Saccharomyces cerevisiae S288C: one gene and its partner. Changing the gene in region 1 together with any one later gene gives a genetic interaction. Each region holds a gene or a part of one and is shown on either strand. Other genes may lie near its edges.

Region 1 (3,758 bases):
GCTCAACCATTTAAGAAGCTAAGTTATAACATGGAAGATTTCTTAGACTGGAACTATGATTCTTTGCTCAATGCAGAATCTTCAAGAAAGTTGAAGACACTTCCTACGTTAGAATTTGAGGCTTTCACAAACGTTTTTGATAATGAAGACGGCGATAGCGAAGCGTCATCCCAAGGTAACGTCTACTTGCCTGGGGTAGCATGGTGAAAGCGAAGATGAACAACGAAGTTTTAAAAGTGTGTATATATACATTTATATCAACAGAGTCATCGATTTCCCTTGTTTGAGATGTAAAAAAAAAAAAAAATAGAAAATAGTAAGTCCCTGTTATCAATTTTGCCTAGGAAAAAAACCTGGGTCAAAAATAAATGGTCTCTAGCGGGATCGAACCGCTGATCCCCGCGTTATTAGCACGGTGCCTTAACCAACTGGGCCAAGAGACCATTCTATTGTTGAAGATTGTTTAATTTAGATAAACTTTCATAATGTTGAGAATTGCTTATTGCGATATATAAAGTTGAACCAAAGATCAATTTCTTTTTATGTATTGTAGAGAATTACAATTTGAAAAAGAGCTAAGGGAAATTGCTATATTCTAAAAGAAGTGCACAAGTACATTACCTTGAATTTTTATATTTATTCATGATATATTAATATTAATATATCGATGGTGAAGGACACCACACCTGTATTTCTTTGATTGAAAACAATTTTGTAACATTGGCTGCAAAAGTTTTTGCAATTGATATGAAACTATATGATAATATAGAATGCAAACAAAATTCAATTGCAAGGAGGAGGGAAGATATAGGGCCCCTTTCTCGCTTGACATAGACTAAATAATATACAGTTTTTATTTCTTTATTTTTTTTCTTCTTTTGACATGAACATGTTGATTATTCATTGTCGCTTCCTGCGGCAGCTTTAACTAAATCCAAAAATTTTTCTTTGGAAACTTCAGTGATCAATTCTTTCTTTTCTTCTTTATTCTTAATTTCGCTTAAATTTTCGGATACTTCCTTTTCTGTCTTGACTTGAGTTGCTAAAATGGCGTTAAATAATTTCACGGCACCTTTTTGAGCTATCTTTCTGAGCGCTGTCTCCTTCTCAAGGACTTTTCTAATATTTTCTGACCTGTCTTCTCCGGAAGCAATTGGAATAATATCCGTCTTTCTGGCTTTACCTAATAACTTTTTTTTTTCTGCCAACAATGCTTTTTTGGCCTTGTATTCTAGCTTTTCTGACTCACTTTGCTTCAGCACCTTTTTGTTTCTAGCCATGATGGGGTCCTTCCTGTCGTATGCTTTCAGATGTGATGATAAAATAGCATTTACTGCAGCAGAAAATCCAGTAGAACCATCATCATGTTTGCTGTTTTTCGATTTTTTCTTTCTTGGGAAGTCGTCGTCCTCTTCTTCTTCATCATCATCTTCTTCAGCATCACTTTGTTCGTTATCTATAATTTTAGATGATTCATCGCTAGAGCTATTCTGCTCGTCTTCTTCGGCTTCATCACCTTCCATTATTGTATCTTTTTCCGGCTCATTACTTAACTCTTGGTTGCCACTATTCCTTTTTTCACGCCCAAATTCTGCATTCTTTCTGGTTCTTTTCTTATCCTTAGTGTCTACTCTGTGCTTGGAGCCCATGATCAATTATGTACTGATTTTCCTTCGGCTTCTCTATCGCTTTATTCATAGCATCTGTTTATTACCTTTCCTTATATCTTATGGGCATCGAATCCTAGATTTTTTTCTTTCAAAATTTTCCAATAAGAGGGTAATGGAGATACACCAAAATGAATCTCAAACAAAATCAAAACAAACACTGTTTACAATTTGATGCGCCTCGAATCAAAATATGATGATGAGTATTACAGCTAAAAAAATTATCGAATATTATATAAGCATTAAAGCTATCAATTTTTCCGCTCTTTGTGTTTCTTATTATTCTATTTGAATATACCAGAACAACTATCCGGAGTCTTTGTTTAAAAAAGGTAGATTTTGAAATAAAGGACTTAGAGAAATTCTGGCAACTATTAAACTATGGAATCACTTCCACGTACTCCCACAAAAGGCAGATCTACGCAGCATCTCTCGACACCATCGCCGAAGAATGATATTTTAGCTATGAATGGCCACAAAAGAAGAAATACAACAACTCCACCGCCTAAGCACACTCTTCTGAAGCCGCAACGTACGGATATTCATAGACACTCATTAGCTAGTCAGAGTCGCATATCCATGTCACCTAATCGCGAGCTTTTAAAGAATTATAAAGGTACAGCAAATTTGATTTATGGAAACCAGAAAAGCAACTCCGGTGTAACTTCCTTTTATAAAGAAAATGTTAATGAACTCAATAGAACACAAGCAATCTTATTTGAGAAAAAGGCAACACTAGATTTACTCAAAGATGAACTAACAGAAACGAAAGAGAAAATCAATGCCGTTAATCTCAAATTTGAAACCCTTCGTGAAGAAAAGATAAAAATTGAACAGCAACTGAATTTGAAAAACAATGAACTTATCTCGATTAAAGAAGAATTTTTGTCAAAGAAGCAGTTCATGAATGAAGGACATGAAATACATTTAAAGCAGCTAGCGGCATCTAATAAAAAAGAGCTGAAACAAATGGAAAATGAATACAAAACAAAAATTGAGAAATTGAAATTTATGAAGATTAAACAGTTTGAAAATGAAAGAGCGTCGCTTTTAGATAAAATAGAAGAGGTAAGAAATAAAATCACCATGAACCCTTCCACTTTACAGGAAATGTTGAACGATGTTGAACAAAAGCATATGCTTGAAAAAGAAGAATGGCTTACAGAGTACCAATCGCAGTGGAAAAAGGATATAGAGCTGAATAATAAACATATGCAAGAAATCGAAAGCATAAAAAAGGAAATCGAAAATACATTAAAACCTGAGTTGGCAGAAAAAAAGAAGCTCTTAACAGAAAAGCGTAACGCGTATGAAGCTATCAAAGTAAAAGTTAAAGAAAAGGAAGAGGAAACTACAAGGCTGAGAGATGAGGTGGCATTAAAACAGAAAACTAATTTAGAAACTTTGGAAAAGATCAAAGAACTTGAGGAATATATAAAAGACACTGAACTGGGTATGAAGGAGTTGAATGAAATTCTGATTAAAGAGGAAACGGTTAGACGCACATTGCATAATGAGTTACAAGAGTTAAGAGGAAATATACGAGTTTATTGTAGGATTCGTCCAGCTCTAAAAAATTTGGAAAATTCTGATACTAGCCTTATTAATGTTAATGAATTTGATGACAATAGTGGTGTTCAATCTATGGAAGTGACGAAAATACAAAACACAGCGCAAGTGCATGAATTCAAATTTGATAAAATATTTGATCAACAGGATACAAATGTGGATGTTTTTAAAGAAGTTGGTCAGTTAGTGCAAAGTTCATTAGATGGATATAATGTTTGTATCTTCGCATACGGACAAACAGGATCTGGGAAAACTTTCACGATGTTAAATCCAGGTGATGGTATCATTCCGTCCACAATATCTCATATATTTAACTGGATCAATAAATTAAAGACAAAAGGATGGGATTATAAAGTTAACTGCGAATTCATTGAGATCTACAACGAGAACATCGTAGACTTATTGAGAAGTGATAATAATAATAAAGAAGACACAAGCATTGGCTTAAAGCACGAAATACGTCATGATCAGGAAACTAAGACTACCACGATAACGAATGTTACGAGTTGCAAGCTTGAGTCG
Region 2 (3,758 bases), on another chromosome or scaffold:
AACACTTTCTATTTGGTTAATGACCAACGAGGAAGTTTGTAGCTTCAACACAACTTTAGATCATGTAATAAACGGCATATGCTTTTAAATGCTTTGTTTTGTTTTTTTCTTTTTTTCCCGCTGTGACAGAAACAATTAAGTTGCGTTAAAAAGGTTCCCTGATAGAAATAAATACGGCTAAATTAAATAAACTACTACATAATCCTACAACATCAAATGCCTGTAGATCAAGAAAAATTAGCTAAGCTGCACAAGTTATCAGCAGCAAACAAAGTTGGTGGTACCAGAAGGAAAATAAACAAGAAAGGTAATTTATATAATAACAATGACAAGGATAATACCAAGTTACAAGCTGAACTTCATAAACTGCATCCAATGACCATTGAAAACGTTGCCGAAGCAAATTTTTTCAAAAAGAATGGCAAGGTTTTACATTTTAACAGTGCAGTTGTACAGATTGCCCCTCAATGCAATCTCACAATGATTCATGGCCAACCGAAAGAGAATACACTTAATGGGCTGTATCCGAGCGTAGCCTCTCAATTAGGTAGCCAAGAACTTGAGTATTTGACAGGTTTGGCTCATAACCTAGAAAATGAACAGACGGTGCTCGACCAGCTGGGCGACAGATGCAGCGAGACAAAACAACAAGTGATGAATAGCTGACATAGTTCATAATAATTGCCAGTAAACGTTATAGCTAGTGGCGAATGTCGAAGTGGAAATGCTATCACATTAATGTTGCAGATGAATATATATTTTCTTATTTGAGAAGATACACGCTATTTACTCTTTCAGCCATTACTGCTACCATTGTGGTTGTTATCTTGACGATGAACGATGTTGGATTGCTTGACTTTTTTCAGTAATTCATTGATACCCTCACCACCCGCAGTTAGTAATTTAGTCCTGTTTCTCCTACATGTCAGTGTATCATAATGTCTTTTCAATGCATCTTTCCTTGCAAAACCTTTGCCACATTGAGGACAAATGTTAGGCAATATGGCGAAGTGTGTCTTTTCGTGCCTTCTCAAATCTGATGATCTTGAAAATTCCAACGAACATTTCGCACATTTAAATCTTTTTTCACCAGTACTATTTCTACGATCTTGGGGTTTGCTTTTGCTGGACTTCGGTGGTTTTGGTAATGCGTTTTCCTTTTTAACCTTTATGTTACCGCCTTGACTATTTATATCAACACCATTTTCTGCCGGTATGAGTGCTGGTTTTTTATTTTGTAACCTGTTTTGCCTATTCCTTACCCTTTCTAATAACTCTTTTATTATAGGATCTATGTTATCTATATTTAATGATACATCCACTATTGCTTCTGTAGCCTGTTTGATAAATGCAGCATCCTGATCCTCCATTTGGTACTTTTTTGAAATTTATAATACCTCTTGACTTTTTTCCACTATATTATTAACAAATTCTTGGCATATGACATGAAACCCTATTCAATTATCCAGATGCATACATATATACCATGGATAGATATGTATATCTACTATATCTATATATACCTCGTCAATGTAATGAGGAAAGTTCCGAGGGCGACAAAGAGAACAAATATAGTTTTATTTATAATAATGATACAGAACTCAAGATTATTTCCTGCTTATTTTAAACTAAAAGTATAGCAAGTTCTAACCCACAATCAGGTTCTTTATTATTGTCAAGAAAATATAAACTGTGGCGTACTAAGCGTACTAAGTAAGGGACGAAAAACCATCACAAAATGTCACGTGCATGTTAGTCCAGTCGGGCAATAGATAGGGACTGTAAATTAAAGTTTATATTGAAATAAACAAAGGTAAATGGTAAAAGATTAGAAGCATAGAAAGCATCTGGCGTTATTTTAGCGGGGAAAGATTTTGGTGGATACTATCTTTGACTAGTATATTTGAGTAGCAATTAATGTCTAACGAATTACGGCTTGAAGATAACTATGTACCAACTTCCGACACACTAGTAGTTTTCAAACAATTGATGAAGCTGCCGGTAACGGTATTATATGATCTTACGCTATCATGGTTCGCAAAATTCGGTGGGTCATTTGATGGTGACATATATTTATTGACAGAAACATTAGACTTACTGATTGAGAAAGGCGTGAGGCGAAATGTTATAGTAAATAGGATATTATACGTATACTGGCCGGATGGCCTGAATGTTTTCCAATTAGCAGAAATAGATTGCCATTTAATGATAAGTAAACCAGAGAAATTTAAGTGGCTTCCATCAAAAGCTTTACGGGGAGATGGGAAACCTTACGTAGTAAAGCTCCAACCTGCCAAATTTATAGAAAATTTACAAACAGATCTAGCGAAAATTTACCATTGTCATGTTTACATGTTTAAACATCCCTCTTTGCCAGTGTTAATTACCAGAATACAGCTATTTGACAGCAATAATTTATTTTTGAGTACGCCTAATATAGGGAGTATAAATAAAGAGTCTCTTTACAACAAGTTAGACAAATTCCAAGGGAAACCATTAATATCAAGGAGACCATATTACGTTGCATTCCCGCTAAATTCTCCAATAATTTTCCATTCAGTTGACAAGGATATTTATGCTAGACTAGTTTTGCAGAGCATTAGTCGAACGATATCAGAAAGAGAAACAATCATCTTCAAACCGGTACAGAAAATACCCGTGAAATCAATACATAATATAATGACTTTATTAGGACCTTCGAGATTTGCGGAGTCTATGGGCCCATGGGAATGTTATGCTAGTGCTAACTTTGAACGGTCACCACTACACGACTACAAAAAGCACCAAGGCCTTACTGGTAAAAAGGTAATGGTTAGAGAATTTGATGATTCTTTCTTAAATGACGATGAGAATTTTTACGGAAAAGAAGAACCTGAAATTAGACGACTAAGGTTAGAGAAAAACATGATCAAATTCAAAGGTTCAGCAAACGGCGTAATGGATCAGAAATATAATGATTTGAAAGAATTTAACGAACATGTCCACAATATTAGGAATGGAAAGAAAAATGAAGATTCTGGTGAGCCAGTGTACATTTCTAGATACAGTTCCTTAGTTCCTATTGAAAAAGTTGGATTCACTTTAAAAAACGAAATAAACAGTAGAATAATTACCATAAAATTGAAATTTAATGGTAATGATATTTTTGGGGGATTACACGAACTATGCGATAAAAATTTAATAAATATTGATAAAGTTCCTGGGTGGTTGGCTGGAGAAAATGGATCGTTCTCAGGAACGATAATGAATGGAGATTTTCAGCGAGAGCAGGTTGCTAAAGGTGGTTTACTGTAGAAAACTACTGTGTTCTGTTATCGCTTCCAATAAAAAAAAAAAAAAAAAACCTATGCAAAAATTTCAGTCAAAGCATAACAAAACGAACCTTTTTTGTACTGCTCATTGAAGTATTTACGGGGCAGTATGGGCACTTGAAAGTAATTGTTCCGTTCTTCGATAATCTGTCTAGCGCCTTTTTAGAAATGATGTGATGGCATGCCAGTGAATAAGGAGGATTTTCTGTAGTGGTTTCCTCCTTTAAGACGGGACAGATGAAGATCGGATGGAAATGAGTCAGAAAATCTGGTAACTTGACATCAAATGGCAACTCATCTTTCGTAGTCCAGTCAACGTGCGCTAACTCCCTGATGGTTTTGTATTTGATGAAAAATTGGAAAGAAATTAAACCACTCAATACTATCAAAAACAAGGGAGAGTCAAAGAAAATATGTTTTGCAGCACAATATTCTTTTATAAATAAC

Evidence for each region. A genetic interaction does not mean that the proteins touch.
Region 2: mutations in KAR3 (region 1) and CHL4 together harm fitness more than expected from each alone (negative genetic interaction), as found in Saccharomyces cerevisiae (6 studies listed by BioGRID, with this or other methods).

Annotation. Positions count from the first base shown.
Region 1 is NC_001148.4:816,214-819,971, reverse strand, and holds the start of KAR3 (Kar3p), read left to right. Parts: upstream 1-2,048; coding exon 2,049-3,758. Other genes in the region: ribosome biosynthesis protein NOC4, read left to right, coding at 1-207; rRNA-processing protein RRP15, read right to left, coding at 897-1,649. UniProt on the Saccharomyces cerevisiae protein: Minus end-directed microtubule (MT) motor involved in spindle midzone assembly, poleward transport of newly captured kinetochores along the lateral side of MTs, karyogamy (nuclear fusion) during mating, and with an essential function in meiosis I.
Region 2 is NC_001136.10:963,196-966,953, forward strand, and holds CHL4 (Chl4p), read left to right. Parts: upstream 1-1,917; coding exon 1,918-3,294; downstream 3,295-3,758. Other genes in the region: CCR4-NOT core subunit BTT1, read left to right, coding at 217-666; MET32 (Met32p), read right to left, coding at 795-1,370; ubiquitin-protein ligase RMD5, read right to left, coding at 3,362-3,758. UniProt on the Saccharomyces cerevisiae protein: Component of the kinetochore, a multiprotein complex that assembles on centromeric DNA and attaches chromosomes to spindle microtubules, mediating chromosome segregation and sister chromatid segregation during meiosis and mitosis.